Cricetulus griseus: one gene and its partner. The protein of the gene in region 1 purifies or fractionates together with the protein of each later gene. This does not show direct contact. Links are inferred from orthologs where the notes say so. Each region holds a gene or a part of one and is shown in the gene's direction. Other genes may lie near its edges.

Evidence for each region.
Region 2: the proteins of Anapc1 (region 1) and Anapc16 purify together in Homo sapiens (co-immunoprecipitation; 5 studies listed by BioGRID and IntAct, with this or other methods). This does not show direct contact. The link is inferred for Cricetulus griseus from reciprocal best matches to the Homo sapiens genes ANAPC1 and ANAPC16.

Annotation. Positions count from the first base shown.
Region 1 is NC_048599.1:49,873,417-49,878,406, forward strand, and holds the start of Anapc1 (anaphase-promoting complex subunit 1), read left to right. Parts: upstream 1-1,773; 5' UTR 1,774-2,008; intron 2,009-3,151; 5' UTR 3,152-3,175; coding exon 3,176-3,388; intron 3,389-4,926; coding exon 4,927-4,990. UniProt on the Homo sapiens protein: Component of the anaphase promoting complex/cyclosome (APC/C), a cell cycle-regulated E3 ubiquitin ligase that controls progression through mitosis and the G1 phase of the cell cycle.
Region 2 is NW_023276807.1:1,329,883-1,334,123, forward strand, and holds the start of Anapc16 (anaphase-promoting complex subunit 16), read left to right. Parts: upstream 1-1,441; 5' UTR 1,442-1,592; intron 1,593-1,648; exon of another isoform or gene 1,649-1,802; intron 1,803-4,241. UniProt on the Homo sapiens protein: Component of the anaphase promoting complex/cyclosome (APC/C), a cell cycle-regulated E3 ubiquitin ligase that controls progression through mitosis and the G1 phase of the cell cycle.

The DNA of each region.
Region 1 (4,990 bases):
GATGCCAGACTATCTGAACATCACCAATACTCCTTACAGGGTCCTTGCTCCTCTTAGCACTGCCTCTCCCCGACTCTATCTTAAACCTTTCCAGCTCCTGAGGTTCGATTCCCTTCCCCCAGCTGCTGCTGCTTCTTCCTCATCCTCCTCCTTTCCTATATAACCCAGTCATTTTGGCCATGAGGTCTTTTGGTCCTTGGCTTCTCTACTGATCCTTGTTCTCTTGTTTCTCTCCATGTCCTCTTGGCTCTGCTCTTGGATCTCTCTTGGTCTTCTTGCCTTCTCTCTTCTCTTTTTATCTCTTGCCCCCCACCCCTCCTCTCATGGTCAGGTCTATGCTATTGGCCATGTTCAGTCTAGACTCTTCCAGATGCCTCTGGCTGTATTCTCTCCCTCCATCTCTATAATAAAAACCTTCTCCTCTAGCTGAAAGTTGGTGGTGCACGCCTTTAATCCCAGCACTCAGGAGGCAGAGGCAGGCAGATCTCTGTAAGTTTGACAGCCTGGTCCACAAGAGCTAGTTTCAGGACAGCCTCCAAAGCCACAGAGAAACCCTGTCTCAAAAAACCAGGAAAAAAAAAAAAACAAAATACAAAAACCCTTCTCCTCAACTGTACAGTCATGTCCTCATTTTTGTTCATTGACCAGTTTGCTCCCTACCATTTTGAGTTTTCATGTATGGGCTCTTTAGAAGCCAATTCCCATATCCCCCAGGGGGACTTTTCATCCAGGTCTGGCAGTGGTAGAAAATACCACTGTCTCAAGGTATATGACACTGGCCTGGTTCCACACAGCATCTTGGAGAGTGGGTGCCCTTCTATTTCAAGTGACTGTTAATAGGCTGGCAGACTGAGGTGGGGCAAGAGGTAGAGGAGTTGGAGAATGGAAGCAATGAGCCTCCGAGAGGCAACTTAAGTGTGTGCTCTTCTATTGGTTCTTCCAGAAAGCCCTGTTGAGGGTAGAAAGAACTTTGTAGGATGATCGGGCTTTGCGGGAAGGGATAAAGAATTGGAGCAAAGCATGTGGAATATAATTGTTAATTTGACTGCTTTTGAATACCCAAGCAAAGGGAAGCGAATTGAAGCTTAGGAGCTGGAGAGTTTTAGGATAGGGTGCAGGGGTGGTGGTGTTGGCGGAGGGGCCTGGACGCTGTAAGGAATACTTGTGATGCTGGGAGAGCATATTTTGAATACTCAGTTAAACAGACATTCTACTCACCAAATTCTAAGGGAAACTCCCTCCTGTTGGAATACAGCCTCAAGCTCTGAACGATGGCATTCCAAGAAATGAAAAGGCACTAAAACATCAGGGTGTGTGTCACAATAGACAATTACAGTGAAGGCATCAAATTTCAGCTAACTGCGTTTTTGGGCAAAGAACTAGCACTTTATTCTTTAGGCACCGAGAGGCTCCACCTTTTTTTTTTTTTTTTGGTTTGTTTGTTTAAGCTCAGAAGATACCAAGCAGTTACCCGACTAGAACCCATTTATGGTGGGCGTGAGCGATTTCCTGTGCTTTCCCAGCATTCCTGAGGAAACCAGCGGCTTCCCTTGCGCTGCCATTCTTTAATCGGGAGGCACACATCTCTTTTTGAGACGAGGAGAACACAGAGCCAGCTCGAAAAATAACCTAACCTAACACAATTGAGAAAGCAGTTCGGGGTCTTAAGAGACTTGGTCTAGCCAGGAGGTGACGTCATGCGACTGTAGGCGCTCGCACAGTCGCCTTCTTTAATCGCGCAGGCGCTAGGCCCTCCCTACTGCCGCGCGTCCCCGCGTTGTCCCGCCCTGGCGCGAGGCAGGACGGGAAATCCAAGATGGACACTTCCACTTGAGTTCTGTCTGTCCGTCTTCGGTTCCCCGCTGCGGCCCAGGGATAAGGGATGAGACGCTGTGCGGCCGAGGAGCCATCGTGACCGACCTGCCGCCGCTCTCGGGCCTCCGCGGCCCCTGCGCCTCCGGGGAGCAGCCGGGGCTCGCCAGCGCCTGACGCGTCCCGAGTCACTCAGGTGCGGGCCCGTCTGGGTAGCGCATTGCTGGGACCTGGTGTCGGGGCCTCGCTGCACCCGGTGACCCGAGGGCTGAGCGCCTCGGGGCGAGCCCTGAACGTGTGCTTGGGTGACGGAGGCCCTCGTCTCAAACTGGGCTTTCCGGGGCGCGCCGGATGCGCCCTGCGCCAGAATCGCGGGCCGCTACCTCCCAGCGCTGGTTACTCAAAAGCACGGGGAAGCCTGTTTGTGTTGAGACAAAGCTCTGGGTTCCGCTGTTTGCATATGTTCCTAGTAACGGTAATGACAGTTTTGTTTATAGCATGTCAGCTCAGGACTTTTATGTGGCCCGTAATGAATAACACGGTTACTAATTTTGATAGAACTATGAAAGTATACGATGCTTTGGGCTAAAAGACTGCGAAAGTGGTGCTGTAAGTAATAATCCCGTAGGTTTGTTTTAAGCTATAAGAGAGTGAAATTACATAATTGCACAAGGAAAAGTCGGATAAAGTCGCCAGTTCTTTAATGTCGGCTACTTTGTTGAGTAGAATTTGGAAACGCCAGCCACATTTTGGAATTTCACATTCGTTTTATAAGGCATTTGTGGTTCTGTTTCAAATTGAGCTGTTCTCAGTACTGATTTATTTCTAGGAGGTGAAAAAGAAACTTGCTCCTGTTTTTGGACACAACCATCTCAGGATGGCATTTAATTCACAGCAAAAAAAGACTTTGTAGTTGCAGAGGGCTTCAGAGAAACCAGACTCTGAGGTGTTTGTAAAAACAAAACAAAATACCTGAAACTGATGCCATAAAAACTTCAGATGAGAGCTTCAAGTCAAATTTAGTTAGACATTGCTAATCTTGAGTGCCATTTCAAACACTAGCAGTTGGCTGTAGTGCTGATATCAAATGCTTGTTTTGAGCCATGTTTGGAGATTGCAATTTAAACGTAATGCCAAGAAACCCATTTTTATTGCAGAGGTTTTCTGAGAGACAGAGCCGACACCCACCTCACGTACTCTGCTAGGATGTTAGCCATCCCCACAGAATGCTTGTGAGGTGGACTGCCATGTTTCTGACATAGCTCCATCCAGGTCTTTGTAGTAGTAATAAACTAGTTTTGACTCAAAGGCTGATGAGAATGTGTTTGGATCCACACAGAAATAATGTTGATATTTGGAACCCATGTCGAACTTCTCTGAAGAAAGGGCAACGATGATTGCAGCCGGAGATTTGCAGGACTTTGTTCCTTTCGGTCGCGACCACTGCAAGCACCACCCTAATGCTCTGAACCTCCAGCTTCGTCAGCTTCAGCCAGCCTCTGAATTATGGTCCTCTGATGGTGCAGCTGGCTTGGTGGGGTCTCTTCAGGAGGTTACAATCCACGAGAAACAGAAGGTTTTATAAAGATTCCCATCATACTCTTGAAACATAGCATTAATAGTCTACTAGTGATTTAAAGCTACCTAGATGCACAGGAGAGAGAAGTATGTGTTGGCCCTTGGACTTCAAAGGCTCATGTTTGCTAGTTTCAGTCCCGTGCTGCCTACGGGGTCATACTTCATAACTTGTAATGAGGGTTGAATAATGTGATCATGTCTCATGTTAAACTTTATTTTCACTTGATATGACTAGATGTTAGAGATTAGAAGTGGTAGCCCCACACTTTTTTCCTAGAATGGGGCTGATGTCACATAAGAATATTAGAGGATGGGGCTGGAGAGATGGCTCAGAGGTTAAGAGCACTGACTGCTCTTCCAGAGGTCCTGAGTTCAATTCCCAGCAGCCACATGGTGGCTCACAACCATCCGTTATGAGATCTGGTGTGCAGATATACATGGAAGCAGAATGTTGTATACATAATAAATAAATAAAATCTAAAAAAAAAAAAAAAGAAAAAAGAATATTAGAGGAGGAGTAGCATCTTATTTTTAGATGGGGCTTCACTAAGAAGCCCAGACTGACCCTGAACTTTTCATCCTTCTGTCTCAGTCTTCTGAGTACTGACAATACAGGTGTGTGCCCCAATGCCTGGAGAACTAGTGGTTCTTAATTATGGATGTGAGATGTAAAAGTATGTCAGGAAACAGCAGTACCAGAACAGAATAGTTCTGTGTGTCCCCCAGCCTTGATTTTTTTTTTTTTTTTTTTGGGTTATACTGGGGGCCAAGCCAAGGTCATGGTCTTGATAGGCAAACACTCTATCACTGAGCTGTGCCTCTTCTCTCCTGCCTTGTTTAATCTTCATATGCCTTTGAAATCAAATCTCTTGGAGTGCACATAGTTCAAAGTCAGAAACTTTCTATCTTCCATTTATCTGGTGGGTGGGACAAGGGAAAGAAGATGAATGTATTTTCAGGTCTGAAGCAGGGAAGTCTACACTGCATCAAGTCCTCTGTTGAGTCACTGTCTCTTTTCTACTCTATTATATTTAATACATACCTTTAGTTTCCCTTCATGCATGGATTTTATTTTATGATCTATATGAAAGATACACTTTTTGCTTGCCTGTGTTTTTGGCAGAATAATACAGGAGACAGAAATATAAAATAAAATAACAGAAATTTTAGTTGGTTTAAAAAATGTCTATGCACCATGTGGATGCAGTACCCACAGAGGCCAGAAGAGGGCATCAGATCTCTTAGAGACAGTTGTAAGACTGTCAGGTGCTGGGAATCAAACCTGGGTCCTCTGGAAGAGCAGCAGTGCTCTTGGACTTGTGAGCCATTTCTCCCACCTGTCTAAAATTATCTCAAGAATCTCCTAATATAATTAATGTACCCACTTTGCTAATTCACCCACTTTGTTCATCCATGTACCATAGTCTTTTTAGGACTTAGTGTTGGGTTGAGTCTTAACCCATAGGCAAATCTTACTGCAGTCTCTTGAAAACAAAGGAGGAAGTGGTGAGCATGTCCTTTGTGTTGATTTTTAAGGAAAGCTGGCAGTTAAGAAAAGGTGTGAGTGAGATTGGAGATGCAGCCGACTTCGATGAAGAAC
Region 2 (4,241 bases), on another chromosome or scaffold:
TTAGAAATAAAAACTTAGGTCAGTAAGATGGCTCAATCGGTAACGGCACTTGTTCCCAGGGCTGACGACCCCATATGGTAGAAGGAGAAAACTGACTCCTACCAGGTTGTCTTCTGAACTACACACGCAGCCAGGAAGCATACAAACAGACAAAATAAATAAATGAAATAGATTAAAAATAGATTAAAATTTTTATTAAAAATAAAAAATAGATTAAAAAAAACTTGCATGTGGACCAGTATGTAGCCCAAATGGAAATAACTGTGTTCATAGCACATCCTAAGCAAAAATAGTGTCATTTTCACTGGCCTGCCATTGTATATAAACTTTTAAAAGGCAAAGATTGCATTTTCCACCATCCTATTAAGCCTCCTGACTCACTCTAGACAGCAACTTGTAATCTGTTTACCAGCCCTCCAATAAGAGGAATTAGTAGTGACTTTGAGAGACCATAGGTATTTGATTAACCTAAAGGGGGTGCGGTCTTGATATTTACCTAACCACGGGCAAAGTGCTTCGTTCTTTCTATCCAATATAAAAATACAATGAGGAATCATTCATACAACATCCACGGAAGAGTTGTAAGTACTTTTAAAGGCACTAACAACCAGATCTAATTTCCCTATCAAAGTACTAAAATACCACTTAACGTAATTCTTAGACCAACACATCAGTGAGAAGGAACAGTTTCTGGAGGTCACTGCCCAACAATCTGTGCATCACATAGCTATGAAACAAAGGCTCCTTATGAACTAGCGGTGGGTGAAGTCTCTAACCCATGCTCCCATCACAGATGGCTGGGTCTTCCAAGCCCATGTACTTAAAAGTGCCAAAGAAAACATAACAATCCCTTCGGCATAAATGCTTGGTCCAGCCATCTGCCGAGTCACTAATGGGTAGCCGCATGCACAGAACCAAGAGAGAGGGTTTGTGATTTGGAGAACCGAGAAAGTCAGCGTTGACGAGAGGATGCAATTACCAGCAGTCATATGACAAGACCCCCCGGTGTGCTATTCCTTCAGCATCTCCCCCCCCCCACTTCAAAACACAAGCTCTGTACCACAGCAGCCTTTAAAAGGTAACGTTTGGGCCCTGAGCATGGGGTGGCTGAGGTGCATACTCATCTACCTTTCCTGGGCAGCTCCAGGCAGAGAGACTGCGCACAAGGACGGAAACCCAGGACTAGCCCTGGGTCATGGAGGTTGGGAGAGGGATATATAAATATATATATGCGCCTTCGTGTAATTATCGCGGGAGAAGCTGAAGTCCTCAATAATCATAAAAGTAAACAAAGAACCCCTATGCCAGGAGGAAGGAACCAGAAAACACTTGCAACAGCAGCCCTCGCGGAAGCTGAAAGGGTGCGGGAGGCCCGGAAGTGCTCCCCGTAAGTGCTCCGGCCCCGCCCTCGCCACGCATGCGCGATAGCGCCGCCCTCTAACCCCCACCGCCGCAGGGGCGGGCGCACGCCGCCATAAGACTCGCACAGCGCGGGCGGGCACGCGCACGCCGCGTCTACGTCGTCGTGAGACGAAGTCGCGCCGCTTGGTCCAGGGGGCGGGGCTGCCAGGCAGAGTGCACAAACTACTCGGGTAAGTAGCCAAGGCTTCCAGAACCTTCGGTGGGGAGTTGAGCCCGACGATCCTACCTGCCAGGACTAACAGAGAGGGTGGCAAGAGACCCGGGAGACGCTCCCGCACCGGGCGTGTGCAAAGGCGAGCGCCTCGAACTGAGCGTGCGCGCGGAGGGCGGGCGCCTGCGCAGTGGGACGGCCGCAAGCCTCTCGCTTCCTCCCGAGTTGCTGGGTGGGAAGCGAGTACCTTGGGTGGAGGTGGCGTAGCCATGACGAGTGCGCTGACTCCTCCCGGACCCGGCCCTGTTCCTTCTTCGTTCCACCCTTAGAGTTGCTGCAGCTATTTGATTGGGGTGGTGACCCATCTGTTTAGGTGGAACACACTGGAATGATTTGTTGGTAGAACCCAACGGTTGTCATAATTAGCCTTTGTACTGGATCCGAATCGACTTAAGCGTCTGGTTTATTCTGAGATTTAATTTTTAAGAAGGATCCCTTTTGGTTTGTTTTTAAGAAAATAAGCAGAGGGTAATTTATGAGTGTAAGGTCATCTCTGTCGTACACAAAGTAAGTATTTAACCAAGCCACATTGTGTCCCACAAAGATCATTACTTTTCCTATGAGCGTTTCCCGCTGTCAGCAGCCCCATCTTCTCATACATTGAAGTTCCTGGATACTCAGTCATCAGCATTTAAGCAAAATTTTACAGAGTGCCTCTTATGGGCCTAGCAGCCTCCTGGGAGGCAAAGTTGCATACTCCACCCAGTGAGAAAAAAACAAAACAGGATGGACCGACCTTCATGACTCCAATCATATCTGTCCCCTGCAGTCTACTGAACTGCCAGCTCTTGTTCTATTATTTATAAGTCACTCCTTCATCCAGGAAACATTGTGATAAGGGTTTTGTTTTATTTTGTTTTTTGTTTTTTTATGGGATGCCTCAAGGATACAAAGGTGATTTGTGTTCTGCTCTCCAAGTGACAGGATTCTTTTCACAGCCTCACACATAGTAAGCAGACACTCTGCCCCTGAACTATAATATCTCCAGACCCAGGATCACAGGCTAGATTTTTACATGTGTGTGCGCACCTGTGCATCTGGAGACTTGAAACTGATATCTGATGTCTTCCTACATAGCTTTCATAGCTTCCCTGAAGCCAGCATGTATGTGTCCATTCCCACTAATCTAGCTAACCATGTTGCTATTGGGAATTGCTTATCTTTAACTCCCAAGTGCTGGGATGGCAGGCAGCTACCCCATCTGGGAAGCTTTTAAGTAAGTTCAAGGGATTCCCAACTTGCCCAGTGCAAGCAATTCATCCACTGAGCCATGTTCCCATCCCCACTCCAGGATTCTTAATAAGATATAAACAAAGTGAGCATGGGAACATGCTGACCGAGGGTAGAATGTGTGAAGTGCATAAAAGATAACATTGTCAGCCTCCTGAGCAGACAGACCCTTCCCTTCCAGGAGTTTTAACATAGCTATGTCAAAGAGAATTTGAACTTTTCCTGTGTTAGAACTTAATAAGAATGAAAAACTGGGCTGTGCATAGGGAAAACTGAGTGTAATGGTGCATACCTGTAATTCCAACACTCAGTAGGCCAGCCCATCGGGATCTGGAACTGAAGGACAGTCTGGGCTACAAAGCAAGAGCCTTAAAAAAAAAAAAAAAAAAAAAAAAAAAAAAAGTGCCAATACCTATTACTGATTTGTGTTTTGTCTAAGATGTAGTTTTTCCTAAGCCTGAAGCTGTTCTAGTTGCTTTGCCTACATTAATTTCATCTTCATAACACACTAACAAGGTAGGCACTTGTATTGATTCCATTTTACAGGTGAGGCATCTAAGGAATAAAAAAGTCAGTTTGTCCAGTCACACAGCAGATAGCAAAGCCAGGATACAGACCTAGGCAGGCAGTTTGTTATAGTCAGTTCATGTTTAAAGATTTATTTTTATTTGCGTGCCTGTGTGTGTGTGTGTGTGTGTGTGTGTGTGTGAGAGAGAGAGAGAGAGAGAGAGAGAGAGAGAGAGACAGACAGACAGACAGACAGACAGACAGACAGACAGACAGACACTCTTGAGCAGGAGGCTAGAAGAAGGCAGCCAGCAGATTGCCCCACAGCTGGAGTTGCAGGGGAATGTGAGCTACCAAACATGGTACTGGGAACCTAACTGCAGTCCTCTGCAGGAGCTGCAAGCACTTTTAAAAACCTCTGACCCAGCTCTTCAACCCCCATAGTCAGTCCTTTCACCGTGCTAGCTTGCCCTCATGCACAGCTGCACATCAAGAAGCCATTGCTCCAAAACTTGGATGACCTTTAGGAAGTCAGTGGAACTGTATAAGCACTCTGTGAACATACTTAAATGAGTGGCTACTTAAGAGTTACACTAATTACTTAGTTAACCCCTATACTTAGCATTTACAATCTAGGGTTGTTAGCTTAACTCCTGTTTACCCCCTTAATGGCATTCAAAACTAGAGACTGAAGGTGTAGCTCAGGGTGGAACATTCACAGGCCCTGGCTTCCACCACCAGCACCAACAAAAGAAGAAACAAAAAAAAAGTCTTTAAGCAAATCTTTAGAACCAGACATCTTGCAGATATGTCTCTGCATCTCAGCAGAAAATGGCTTTTTTAAAGTTAACCTTGTGCTGGTTTCAAGCTG